Oryctolagus cuniculus: one gene and its partners. The protein of the gene in region 1 purifies or fractionates together with the protein of each later gene. This does not show direct contact. Links are inferred from orthologs where the notes say so. Each region holds a gene or a part of one and is shown in the gene's direction. Other genes may lie near its edges.

Region 1 (3,569 bases):
TACCTTTCATATGCTTATTTGTCCTCTGTAGATCTTTGATGAATGATGTGTTTTTAGATTTTTTTCTGCCCCCTTTTAATTGGCTTTTTCTAAAACTCCATTAAAATTATTGTCCACAGGAAAAAGGTTATACTTTCCATCATCACTTGACACGCACATGTTTGTGTGTAGTCTGTGTGCATTAAAATAATGTTAGCTAAGGCTTCAAAAGAAACTATTTATACTTGTTCCCTGGGATATACTCTGATGTTTCCTGTTGTTTATTAATTTTTTGACATGCTCACAGCCTAACAAGCAGTACTCTCAGAGTGCGTGAAAGCTCACAGTCGCGCACAGCACAGTGGTACTGCCCCTCATTGCCTCACATAGCCACCTGGCTTCCTTGAATACCCCCTCCACTGTGCGCCAACACTGCTCACTTCTTGGATGGTCTTTTTCTCTTTGTCTCATCTGGGCACGTGTGAGGGAGACCCACCTCAGCAGCGTGAAACTGAATGGGACTGCTTTTCCTTTAGGCCTAGGCTAGAGGGCACCTGGCCACCCCAGACTTAGTGCCTCCATTGGGGTGGGGTCAGGACATGGGAGCATAGGATTTTGGAATAACAGGCCCCACAACCCAAGCCTACTTTTCCCCTAGTCACTGATAAATAGGCATCTACAAGGGTGCTATGTGGGAGCACCTGTCTTCAGGTCTTTTTTGCAAAGCCTGGGCCCCTGTCTCCCTGAGCCCATTTTGGCTCTTGGCCCCACATGCCTGTTCCTCTCCCCCTTGCAGTTTGCAGAGCAGTCCCTGATGAAGAATGCCATAAAGACATCGGAGGAGTCATGGATTGAACAGCAGATGCTGGAAGACAAGAAACGTGCTACAGACTGGGAGGCCACAAATGAGGCCATTGAGGAGCAAGTAGCTAGGGAATCCTACCTTCAGTGGCTGCGAGATCAGGAGAAACAGGCCCGCCAGGTCCGCGGCCCCAGCCAGGTTCGTAATGGGCTCTGTCACTGATCTGGCCCTTCCATGTTTTGCTCCAAACTGAATAGTAGTAAGCGGTTTGACTTCCATAAGGGAAGGAAGTTTTCAGTCCCATCTATAGCTCATCTTGGTCTTAATCTTGGCATTTTGCCTTTGAACTCTGTAACCATGTGGGCAACACTCGCTTCAAGGAGCAAAGGAGGGTAGTCACTGGTTCTAGTGACATGGGTGCATGGTGGATAGCTGCAGAGAGACAAGCTTCTGTTGGATGCCCTTGAGTGCCAGAGGCAGCCTGCACTGTCCTTAGTGATCCCATCTACTGAGGGAGACAGAATCACCGGTGGGGCCTGTGACCCTGGCTGGGAGCCCAGTGGAGGTGGGGGCTCTGGTCAATCTTCATAGAGGAAGATTGAATAGTTAGGGCACAGCAGACAGGCATCTGAAGAATCACAAGGAATTTGGAGTGACTGGATGTTGGCGATTGTTCAAATACTTGTTGCAAGCCTGTGCTAGGCACTGTTCTCGGGACACTTTGGTGAATGTGGCAGGCCAAGATCCCTGTCCTTATGATGTTTGCATTCGTGCAGAGTGAAACAAAATGAAGAAGACTAGAATGAATAAATCAGTTGAGAGGTGCTGTGGATGAGAAATGTAGAGCCAGGGTGGAGGGGATGGGAGTTCACAGTACTAAAGGGTGTGGTCAAGGTAGGCCTCAGAGCAGATGAGGCTTGAGCAGAGACTTGCAGAAGAGTGAGCTGAGCACATATGCAGGGAATGGCAGGGCCTGGGATTCAGGCACAGCCTGGAGGGAGGCCAGTGTAACTGAATAAAATGTGGTAGTAGGTGAAGTGAGGGAGGGGTGGGGCCAGCTGGGATAGAGGCTTGTGGGCTGTGGTGAGGTCTTTGGCGTTTGTTTGTTTTCACCTACTTGAAAGGCAGAGGGACAGAGAGAGACCTTCCATAGGCTGGTTCACTCCCGCATGCCTGCAGCAGCCTGGGCTGGGCCAGGTGGAAGCGAGGGGCCCAGAACTCCATCCAGGTCTCCTACATGGGTGCAGGGGCCCAAGCACTTAAGCCATTCTCTTCTGCCTCCCAGGATGTGTCAGCAGTAATGCTGTATCAGAAGCCAAGTAGCCGGGACTTGAACTGGCACTCCGATATGGGATGTAGGCATCCTAAGTGGCGGCCTTACCTGCTGCCTCACAATACCCTTCCCAGGACTTTGGCTTTTACCTTGAGTGAGGGAGATGTATGGGAGTGTCGTGAACAGAGGAAGGACCTGATTTGGGATTTGACAGGATCCCCCTGACTGCCGAATGGCGAATAGAGTGTGAGGGGTGAAGGAGGGAACGAGGAAGAAGGCTACTGAACTAGACTAGGTGACCAGTGACCCTGCTGGTAGGGGTGGTGGGGAAAGGGATTGGATTTGGGGTCTGTTTTGAAGGTAGAGGTAACCGGATTTCCTGTCATTGTCTGTCACAGCTGTAATGGTATGAGAAAGGATTAACAGAGGCCTGCATGGAAGCTGATCATAGCCAGGGGCCCGGGAAGGGCATGAGCGCTCAGGGCTGGGGCACAGGAGAGTCCTGGCTAGTGTTAGTCCTTACTGCTCTTCCTCCCCTGCTACAGCCCCGGAAAGCGAGCGCCACGTGCAGTTCAGCCACAGCAGCAGCCTCCAGTGGCCTGGAGGAGTGGACCAGTCGGTCCCCGCGGCAGCGGAGTTCGGCCTCATCCCCCGAGCACCCTGAGCTGCACGCCGAGCTAGGCATCAAACCCCCTTCCCCAGGCACTGTCTTAGCTCTTGCCAAACCTCCTTCACCCTGCGCACCAGGTCAGTGACTTGCTTATAGGGCACATGCTGGGGTCAGAAGGCACTGCCTGGGACCTGGGCCTTGGGCCCTACCTCTGACTGTCCATTTGCCCTAGGTACAAGCAGTCAGTTCTCTGCAGGGGCCGACCGGGCCACTTCCCCCCTCGTGTCCCTCTATCCTGCTCTGGAATGCCGGGCTCTCATTCAGCAGATGTCCCCCTCTGCCTTTGGTAAGCTTCCTCTGGGGACAGGGGCCAGCTGGGAATTGGGGGGAGACTGGAAGAGGGAACTTCTGGAGCCTCTGGCTGTCTCCCCAAGTAAAGAAGTGAGATGGCATAATAGAGAATTTTTTTTCAGCTTAGGGGATTTGTCCCAAAAGGGGGCTAAGTGGGATTTCACAGGCCCAGGGGAGCCTTTTCCATAGAGAAAGGAGTGAGAGGAGCCTGAATAGGAGAGCCGGGGGATTAGCCACAGGTGAGGAGAAGGCAGGCTGAGGGTGCCTCATAATGCATTTCCTCCTCTTTTTGCCCAGCAGGTCTGAATGACTGGGATGATGATGAGATCCTAGCTTCGGTGCTGGCAGTGTCCCAACAGGAATACCTAGACAGTATGAAGAAAAACAAAGTGCACAGAGACCCACCCCCGGACAAGAGCTGATCGAGACCCAGGGACTGGAACCATCTCCGAACCCCCCCCAACTCCTGCCCTCCGGTGCCACCCCGCCTTCTTTGGCTTTCTTCCCTCTTGCCTCCTTCCCCTTTTCCCTCTCCCTCCTCCCCACTTCCCTCT
Region 2 (3,569 bases), on another chromosome or scaffold:
TGTAGTTGGAAGAACTTGAGAATTGATTCAGCAAAGTCACTGAGGTTGTAGACCAGGTTTTTTTTTTTAAATAATAGTCTGGAATCTAGTGCAGTTAGTGGGCTTGCAGGTATGTATTAATGTATCAGAAGAAACTTTTTTTAAAAAAAAATACCAATTATTTCGCGTTAGATGAGCCTATTTAAATTTTTCTAGATCCTGCAAGATAGTATTGGGTGGGGAAGCAAGTTGTTAATTGGGTGCATTTGGCTTGGATAGCCTGGGAATTGGTTCTATAGCTCCACCCCAATACATTATGCCTCTGATGACATTTATTTAAGTGCCTCAGTGTAAGGTCTGACATTTGTGGTCTATTCTGAGAGTTTATAGGGAATGAACCTTAACATTTTAATAACCAGATTGATAATTTAGTGTTTGGTAACAGGCTGCTAAATGATTGGGTATGCCCTGATTGTGTTCCACTTTCTTAGAAAGAACCCAAGAGAAATAACTTCAGATTTTGTAAAACCAATTTCTTAACTGCTTTTTGACTTTGTCAGAAATTGTGGTTTGGTAATTTCAGCATACCTGAAATTTCAGTCATGAATTTAGCCATCAATCTGTTTATCCTAAGGTCACCAATAATTCATGTTGGTTTGGACTTAAGGCATTAACAGGAAAAAAAACAGTATGGGGGTAGGAAATCAGTAACTAATTCAGATATCTTCCATAGTTTCTGATAATACTGCTTCTGTGTATAAATGTGGTTTTATAAAGATTTTTTGAAAACAAACATACGTGTTAGAGTAAACCTAAAAACAGACTTTCTCCATTCATATTGATAAATAAGCTATTTTCCTAGTGGTTACATGAGAATTTTTTTTTTTAGCTAGGTGTCTAGTGTAGATGTTTGTGCACGCTTTTCATGTATTAGATATTTACAGAAGATAGTACTTTTCTGGTTAAATAACTATTTTAGATGGTGGATTTTTTTAAATAACATTAAATACCATTTGTTTTCCTTTCAGTGTGTAATTTCATAGAATTATGGGTCTTTTTACTCAATTTTTTTTCAGATTATATAGACTAAAATAGCACGACTTTTTTTTTGGTTGATTTAATTGGTTACTTATGAATGACTGTTGGTATTATTTTCTTTGATACTTTAAAGCCAAAATGTATCTCTGGTCTACAGTTTCTTTAAATTATCAATAGGCTGACATCTTGAAAAAGGTGAGGCGGAATGACTGCTCAAATGACTTCAAGACAGTTATAGAGAATGCTTTAATGTGGGAAGATAACTTGGCAAACTAAATAGAAGTTCACAACAAACTTTGTTTTTAAGAATTTCCCTAAAATACTTTGTTACACATTAGGAATGGTTGGTGTTTGCTTTTTCCAATGGGAAATGCTAGTTAGTGGACTGAAAAAGTAGCACTGTGGTTTTTGGATAGCCTAGGACTAAACTTTTTGTATTGCAGAGATAATTTGCTTATACAGGTTATCTAATGTTCTAGGAATAAGACGTGTTGGGAGAAGACCTGATCAACAGCTTCAAGGTGAAGGGAAAATAATTGATAGAAGACCAGAAAGGCGACCACCTCGTGAAAGAAGATTTGAAAAGCCACTAGAAGAAAAGGGTGAAGGAGGAGAGTTTTCAGTTGATAGGTAAGATTTCTTTTTTAGAAAAAGTCTTTTCATGCTTTGTCAATGCATAGTCCTATATTAACACAAAGCTGTCACTTGGGCATCATTGCCAGGTAGCAGAGAGGCTGATCGCATTTACCAGTTTCTGAGGTATCTGAGTATATTGTTATCCTCAGACCTTTGGATAACAGTCCAGACTTAGATTTCTAATGAGGCAGTTTCAGTTGAATTGATGGCCACTGTCATTTCTTTGCTCTCCCCAGATTTTGACTTAAAAGAAAAATGCTCTTTAAATAGTAAAAAAGGTTATTCATTCTGCAGGTTAGTTGTGCTTAATTTAGTTTTTAAATGTATTGGAGAATAATCGTGTTACTTGATTATAATCAGTGAATAATAGTGAAAACTAGTAGTTATGCACTAGTAGTAATGCTTTGGAGCAGGGGTCGGGAATGGCCAACTTTTGGGCTGTGTGAAGTGTAAGAAATTATTCGGTTTGGTCTTGCCAAGGCAACTGCAAGTGGGACTTGAAATTCAGGAACTTTTGCAGGCTAATTTTTTTAAGTTGATAATTTTGTATGACCTGAGAGTGATGTTATAAACATACAAAAGGCCCTTGGCAGAAAAAAAGGTTCCCTACCCCTGTGAGGATTCCAAAAACAGTTTTCTTCTGAGAATGGGAGCTTCCTGGTTCTGATTTCCTTTATGTGTTTAGAAATAGACTAGAATTTTCTAAAGCATGTCTTTAACTGATGATTTATGAGCCAGTAAATATGTGTTTTTGAGTGCTTGAATAGATTTCTCTTACTCCTTTTTTTGGAAACCATGGAAATCTAAATTTTTAAATTTTGTATTGTAGGCCTATAATTGACCGACCTATCCGAGGCCGTGGTGGTCTAGGAAGAGGTCGAGGAGGCCGTGGACGTGGAATGGGCCGAGGAGATGGATTTGATTCTCGTGGCAAACGTGAATTTGACAGGCATAGTGGAAGTGATAGATCGTAAGTCTTAGATTGGTTTTTATTTTATGTTTATATTTTAATGCATTTATTTAATAAACAAAATTTGAATTTCTAGAACTAAAGAGTATTATGTTAACTCAGTTTTGTTAGTTCTTTTTCACATTACAGTGGTCTGAAGCACGAGGACAAACGTGGAGGTAGCGGATCTCACAACTGGGGAACTGTCAAAGATGAATTAACGTTGGTATTCCGATTTTTTTAATAAAATTGATCCTAAACTAATCTAGAGTCTTAACCTATACATTTATTAAATTTTGTTCCTGGAACAAGAATGGATGTTCTTATTTCAGAGATATTGTCTTAAAAGACAATGCCTTATGGGATAGATTTGGGTTACAGTATATCAAATGAGCAATTATTCTATACTTCTGTATACTTGTATATGTTACTAATTTTTTTTCATGTGAATATAAAGCTTTTCTTGATATTTTACATTGAAGTTACTTGAGGATTCTAATGATTTCCTTTGTGTCTGTAATAGTTACTTTTCCAGCTGCTTACATTCTGGTTCTTGTTAACTTGTGAATAAGCCTGTGAATCACCAGTAGTTGATGTTGTTTTCTCTTAGAGCTGTACTGGGGAATAAATTTAGTAGGAAAAGACAAAAGATTATGAAGTTTTTAATTGTTACGAAGAACTCTTTGGCTACACGTAAATGGATCTAGATGCTTTTCTTTTTCTTTTCTTTCCTTAGAGAGTCCCCAAAATACATTCAGAAACAAATATCTTATAATTGCAGTGACTTGGATCAATCAAATGTGACTGAGGAAACACCTGAAGGTGAAGAACATCCAGTGGCAGACACTGAAAATAAGTAAGTGGTTTTGATGTAGCAGTGATGCTTCAGCAGTGAACACAGTTTGGGATTTTACTAGTAAGATGTCATTGACTTCATGTGATTTGATGCATTTTTGACAAGAGACTT
Region 3 (2,452 bases), on another chromosome or scaffold:
ATCATGGTGCGTGCTGGGGGCGGGCCGGGGGTGAGGGCGGGCCCATGGGCAACATCATGGTGCGTGCTGGGGGCGGGCCGGGGGTGAGGGCGGGCCCATGGGCAACATCATGGTGCGTGCCGCGGGGCGGGCCGGGGGTGAGGGCGGGCCCATGGGCAACATCATGGTGCGTGCCGCGGGGCGGGTGGGGGCGAGGGCGAGGGCGGGCCCATGGGCAACATCATGGTGCGTGCCGCGGGGCAGCCGGGGGGCCAGGGCGAGGGCGGGCCCATGGGCAACATCATGGTGCGTGCCGCGGGGCGGGTGGGGGCGAGGGCGGGCCCATGGGCAACATCATGGTGCGTGCTGGGGGCGGGGGGGGGGTGAGGGCGAGGGCGGGCCCATGGGCAACATCATGGTGCGTGCCGCGGGGCGGGCCGAGGGCGAGGGCGGGCCCATGGGCAACATCATGGTGCGTGCCGGGGGCGGCAGCCCGTGATGACCGAGACTTCTTCACTTTGACCTGATCTCTGGTGAAGACAGCCCGCGTCTGAGGCCGGGGTGCCAGGGCGGGGCGGGGCCCACGGCGGCCGCGTCCACGGCCGCTCAGCGCCGCCCTGCTCCCCCAGATCGACCCCGTGCTGGGCACCGTGGGCTTCGGGTCCGGCCTGCACGGCTGGGCCTTCACGCTGAAGCAGTTTGCTGAGATGTACGTGGCCAAGTTCGCAGCCAAAGGCGAGGGCCAGCTGGGGCCGGCGGAGCGGGCCAAGAAGGTGGAGGACATGATGAAGAAGCTGTGGGGTGACCGGTGAGCGCGGGGCGGAGGGGCGGCGGGCGGGCGGGCAGGCAGCAGCAGGGCTGAGACCTGACGGCCCCCGCCCCTGCCCCCGCTCCAGGTACTTCGACCCGTCCAACGGCAAGTTCAGCAAGTCGGCCACCAGCCCCGACGGCAAGAAGCTGCCGCGCACCTTTTGCCAGCTCATCCTGGACCCCATCTTCAAGGTGGGCGGGGCCGGGGGCTGGGGGGGCCCAGGGCTTGGGTTTGGAGCGGCATGCGGGCCCCCTCCCGGCGCTGGGCTCACGGCGCGGTGTCGCCGGCCGCAGGTGTTCGACGCCATCATGAACTTCAAGAAGGAGGAGACGGCGAAGCTGATCGAGAAGCTGGACATCAAGCTGGACAGCGAGGACAAGGACAAGGAGGGCAAGCCGCTGCTGAAGGTGGGCGGCCCGCCAGGGCCCCGCAGGGCGCCCCACGGAGGGGCAGGGAAGGAGGGGACAGGGAGCCGCCCGGCGGGCCCTGAGCCCTGCGCCGCCCTCCGCAGGCTGTGATGCGCCGCTGGCTGCCGGCCGGGGACGCGCTGCTGCAGATGATCACCATCCACCTGCCCTCGCCCGTCACGGCCCAGAAGTACCGCTGCGAGCTGCTGTACGAGGGGCCGCCCGACGACGAGGCCGCCATGGGCATCAAGAGCTGCGACCCCAAGGGGCCCCTCATGATGTACATCTCCAAGATGGTGCCCACCTCCGACAAGGGCCGCTTCTACGCCTTCGGCCGCGTGTTCTCGGGGCTGGTGTCCACCGGCCTCAAGGTCAGGATCATGGGCCCCAACTACACGCCCGGCAAGAAGGAGGACCTGTACCTGAAGCCGATCCAGAGGTGAGCGCCCGGGCGGTGGCGGCCAGTGAGCCCGCCGCGCAGTGGCCGGGGCTGGCCTGCAGGGGCGCGGGTGGGCGGTGCTGTGTGTCCGGGTGCCGCCGCGCTGACGGGCTGCGCCCGGCCTGCCCAGGACCATCCTGATGATGGGCCGCTACGTGGAGCCCATCGAGGACGTGCCGTGCGGCAACATCGTGGGCCTGGTGGGCGTGGACCAGTTCCTGGTGAAGACGGGCACCATCACCACCTTCGAGCACGCCCACAACATGCGGGTGATGAAGTTCAGCGTGAGCCCCGTGGTGCGCGTGGCCGTGGAGGCCAAGAACCCGGCCGACCTGCCCAAGCTGGTGGAGGGCCTGAAGCGGCTGGCCAAGTCGGACCCCATGGTGCAGGTGGGCGGCGGGGCCGGGCGGGCGGCGGGGCCGGGGGGAGGGGGCTCCGGGCTGGCCGAGCGGGGAGGGGGCTCAGGGCTGGCTGAGCGGGGAGGGGGCTCCGGGCTGGCTGAGCGGGGAGGGGGCTCCGGGCTGGCTGAGCGGGGAGGGGGCTCCGGGCTGGCTGAGCGGGGAGGGGGCTCCGGGCCGGCTGACGTGCCGAGCCCCTGCCCGCAGTGCATCATCGAGGAGTCGGGTGAGCACATCATCGCGGGCGCCGGCGAGCTGCACCTGGAGATCTGCCTCAAGGACCTGGAGGAGGACCACGCCTGCATCCCCATCAAGGTGCGGGGCCGCGCCCCGTCCTCCCTGCCCTGTCCATGCCCGCCCCTGTCCTCCCCCGCCCCTGTCCCCCCCCCCGCCCTGCCCTCCCCCACCCCTGTCCCCC
Region 4 (3,565 bases), about 2.2 Mb from region 1:
TGGATTTTTGAAATCTGGGATTATTGTGCATTGACATACTACCATTTTACCTGGATAGGAAGACAAAGACATTTTGTGCTCTTTCAGATACCTGGACTACAGACGAGTGCCCAACAGCAACCCTCCTGAGTATGAGTTCCTCTGGGGCCTCCGTTCCTATCATGAGACTAGCAAGATGAAAGTGCTGAGATTCATTGCAGAGGTAATGGAGGAACTGCTCTAGAATTGATAGGTCAAGAGATGAGGTATCAGTGGTTGGGAGAGGCCAAGAACAGGAATGAGATCCTCGTATGGCACATGGTAGGTGCTGCATTACTGGTGATAATTTATTGTTGTTTTTATATAAGCAATAACAAAAAATAGGGGGCTTAATATGTATTAGGTGCTTAATACAATGGTATTTCAAAAATGGGTGGAAGATGGAATTAAAATATGTTTGTTTTGGTGCAGAAAGGTTTTGAATACCATGTATAACGAGGGATCTTCAAAAAGTTCATGAAAAATGAGAATTACAGAAAAACTGGATTTAAAAAATTTTTACCAAAATTAACTTACCTCTCTTTAAAAATGCTTCTTTATTTATTATTTCCATGTACTTGAAAGACAGAGTGAAAAAAAGAGAGATCTTCCATCTACTGGTTCACTCCCTTAATGCCCACAACAGCCAGGGCTGGGTCATGCCAAGGCTGGAAGCCAGAAGCCGCGTCTGACTCTCTTATGTGGGTGTCTGGAGCCCATACACTTGAACCATCATCTGCTGCTTCCAGGATGCATTAGCAGAAAGTTGGTTCAGGGCTTCCTAAGTGATGGCTTAACTCACTAAGCCACAGCTTTTGCCCCTAAAGTTATCACTCTCTTTTTAAAAGACTTTATTTGAAAGGTAGAGTGACAGAAAGGGGGAGAGAGAGAGAGAGAGAATATTTCCTGTCTGCTGGTTCATTATCCTAAGAGCTGCAACAGTGAGACCTGGGCTAGGCTGACACTAGGAGCCAGGAACTCCATCCAGGTCTTCTACAAGGGTGGCAGGGGCCCAGGAACTTGGACCATCTTTATTGTCTTCCAGGCACGTTAGCAGGGAGCTGGATTGGACTCAAATCAGCACTCTGATATCAGATACTGGCATCACAAGTGGTGGCTTAACCTGCTGTGCCAGAATGCCAGCACCTAAACTTATCTTTCTCTTTTTTTTTGTTTGAAAGTCAGAGTTACACACAGAGAGAGGAAGAGACAGAGAGATTTTCCATCCACTGGTTCACTCCCCAAATGGCTGCAGTGGCCAGGGCTGGGCCAGGCTGAAGCCAGGAGTCAAGAGCTTCTTCCAGGTCTCCCATGTGGGTGCAGGGGCTCAAGCACTTGGACTGTCTTTCACTGCTTTCCCAGGCACATTAGCAGGGAGCTAGATTGGAAGTCCAGCATCTGGATCTTGAATAAGCAGCCATATGGGATGCTGGCATTGCAGGCAGCAACTTTACCTGCTACACCACAATGCTGCCCCCTAAACTTACCTCTTAATTCCATTTTTTCATGAGCATTTTTAAATACCCTCGTATATATTAACTAATACTGTTAAGGGTTGGATTTTTAATATTTTTATTCATTAATTTTCCAACTTTATTACAGTTTTGTTGACATAATGTATATAATGTACAACATTATCTTTAAGTGTTTTTTTGTTTTTTTTCACTTAATCAAATTTAACATTTTTGGAATACAAGGTGGTATTTTGGTAATTTTTATAGATTATGGAGTATGTGTATGTAATATGTGTACATTATGTAATGATTAAATGAAGCTGATTAGCTGTCCAGATCACATACTTAGCATTTTTATGATGACAAGATTTAAAATGTACTCAGCAATTTTCAAGTATGCAATACATTGTCATTAACTATAGTAATCATGTGTTAGACATTATTCATCCTAAGTTAAATTTTGCATGTTTTAACCAGTGTCTCCTTCTTCCAGTCTCCCCACCTCCACAATCTCTGGTGACTGTTACACTTTGTGCTTTTAAGAGTTCGGTTCTTTCAGATTCTACCTATAAGTGAGATCGTGCAGTATTTGCCTTTTTGTATCTTATTTCACTTTAACATAATGGCCTCTAGGTTCATCCATGCTGCCACAAATAGCAGGATTTCTTCCTTTTAAAGGCTGTATAGTATTATCTTTTAAATATACACCTTCATTATCAAGTCATCCATTGATGGACGCTTAGGTTGATTCTGTATCTTAGTCATTGTAAATAGGTGTGATTCTGTTTTCTGTTCCTCATCTCAGGTTCAGAAAAGAGACCCTCGTGACTGGACTGCACAGTTTATGGAGGCCGCAGATGAGGCCTTGGATGCTTTGGATGCTGCTGCAGCTGAGGCCGAAGCCCGGGCTGAAGCAAGAACCCGCATGGGGATTGGAGATGAAGCTGTATCTGGGCCCTGGAGCTGGGATGACATTGAATTTGAGCTGCTGACCTGGGATGAGGAAGGAGATTTTGGAGATCCCTGGTCCAGGATTCCATTTACTTTCTGGGCCAGATACCACCAGAATGCCCGCTCCAGATTTCCTCAAACCTTTGCTGGCCCCATCATTGGTCCTGGTGGCACAGCCAGTGCCAACTTTGCTGCCAATTTTGGTGCCATTGGATTCTTCTGGGTTGAATAAACTGTTTGGTAGGTATTTCTCTTTTTGAATTGATAGAGTCCTTGGGGGTTATAATTATGTGCATGAGCTAGGAGTCAGGAAATTTGTGATGAGGAAATGAGGGAATTGTAGGGCAGCACTATTTGGCATTTATATTCCTTATTATTTGAGATACATATCATTGATTTTTCCACTTTTTCTTTCTTATATTCACAGATATTGCTCATCGGTTGCAATAGTCTTTCCCCTGAATTGAGGCTGAAGTCTCAGATTCCTTCTAAAACACAGCTATCTAGAGAGCCACATCCTGTTGACTGAAAGTGGCATGCAAGATAAATTTATTTGCTGTTCCTTGTCTATTGCTTTTTTTCCTTGTGTGCTGTCAAGTTTTGGTATCAGAAATAAACATTGAAATTGCAAAGTGAATTAGATGTGCTCCCCCTTTTTCTTTCTGTGTTTGGGGAGAGATCAGCATATTTAATGAGAGAGGTGGAACCTTAGTTATAGCCTGAAGGGTGGATCAGATTTCAGCAGAGATGTGGGTAGATCAAGCTAATGGATTGGGGAAAAAAAGAGGAATTAATGAAGTGTTAATAAGGCCTACAAATTAGTGTAGTTTTTCAGTGAGCATCATTTAAGTGAATCATATGATAGATATGTTGCTGAATGTCCTGAAGTAACACTGAGAGAAATCATAAAATGAAGGGATGTCTAGGTGGTCAGAAGGCTTGATTTAAGACAAGACAGAGGAGGTAGAACTAACTACATGTGATAAGGTGTAAGGAATGGATAGTTGAAGAGGAGAGATGGCTGTTCCTGGAGAATGAAGGGTCAGGGGCCTGGGATTCTGGACTGTTGATTTTACTGTGGAAAATGAAAAAACTTCAGGTTGGAAGCAAGAGTAGGTGCCAAAGTCTGTTCTGTGAGAAGG

Evidence for each region. The genes of interacting proteins can lie anywhere in the genome.
Region 2: the proteins of OTUD5 (region 1) and SERBP1 purify together in Homo sapiens (affinity purification with mass spectrometry, with the first as the bait; 3 studies listed by BioGRID). This does not show direct contact. The link is inferred for Oryctolagus cuniculus from reciprocal best matches to the Homo sapiens genes OTUD5 and SERBP1.
Region 3: the proteins of OTUD5 (region 1) and EEF2 purify together in Homo sapiens (affinity purification with mass spectrometry, with the first as the bait; 3 studies listed by BioGRID). This does not show direct contact. The link is inferred for Oryctolagus cuniculus from reciprocal best matches to the Homo sapiens genes OTUD5 and EEF2.
Region 4: the proteins of OTUD5 (region 1) and MAGED1 purify together in Homo sapiens (affinity purification with mass spectrometry, with the first as the bait; 3 studies listed by BioGRID). This does not show direct contact. The link is inferred for Oryctolagus cuniculus from reciprocal best matches to the Homo sapiens genes OTUD5 and MAGED1.

What each region holds. Positions count from the first base shown.
Region 1 is NC_091453.1:34,099,672-34,103,240, reverse strand, and holds part of OTUD5 (OTU domain-containing protein 5), read left to right. Parts: intron 1-775; coding exon 776-979; intron 980-2,599; coding exon 2,600-2,801; intron 2,802-2,896; coding exon 2,897-3,010; intron 3,011-3,312; coding exon 3,313-3,437; 3' UTR 3,438-3,569. UniProt on the Homo sapiens protein: Deubiquitinating enzyme that functions as a negative regulator of the innate immune system. Has peptidase activity towards 'Lys-48'- and 'Lys-63'-linked polyubiquitin chains. Can also cleave 'Lys-11'-linked ubiquitin chains (in vitro).
Region 2 is NC_091438.1:105,138,085-105,141,653, forward strand, and holds part of SERBP1 (SERPINE1 mRNA-binding protein 1), read left to right. Parts: intron 1-1,496; coding exon 1,497-1,647; intron 1,648-2,482; coding exon 2,483-2,623; intron 2,624-2,734; coding exon 2,735-2,824; intron 2,825-3,338; coding exon 3,339-3,458; intron 3,459-3,569. UniProt on the Homo sapiens protein: Ribosome-binding protein that promotes ribosome hibernation, a process during which ribosomes are stabilized in an inactive state and preserved from proteasomal degradation.
Region 3 is NC_091447.1:59,308,160-59,310,611, forward strand, and holds part of EEF2 (elongation factor 2), read left to right. Parts: intron 1-470; exon of another isoform or gene 471-535; intron 536-608; coding exon 609-787; intron 788-875; coding exon 876-981; intron 982-1,083; coding exon 1,084-1,197; intron 1,198-1,301; coding exon 1,302-1,636; intron 1,637-1,766; coding exon 1,767-2,025; intron 2,026-2,241; coding exon 2,242-2,349; intron 2,350-2,452. UniProt on the Homo sapiens protein: Catalyzes the GTP-dependent ribosomal translocation step during translation elongation.
Region 4 is NC_091453.1:36,330,492-36,334,056, forward strand, and holds the end of MAGED1 (melanoma-associated antigen D1), read left to right. Parts: intron 1-87; coding exon 88-202; intron 203-2,277; coding exon 2,278-2,655; 3' UTR 2,656-2,663; intron 2,664-2,850; 3' UTR 2,851-3,060; downstream 3,061-3,565. UniProt on the Homo sapiens protein: Involved in the apoptotic response after nerve growth factor (NGF) binding in neuronal cells. Inhibits cell cycle progression, and facilitates NGFR-mediated apoptosis. May act as a regulator of the function of DLX family members.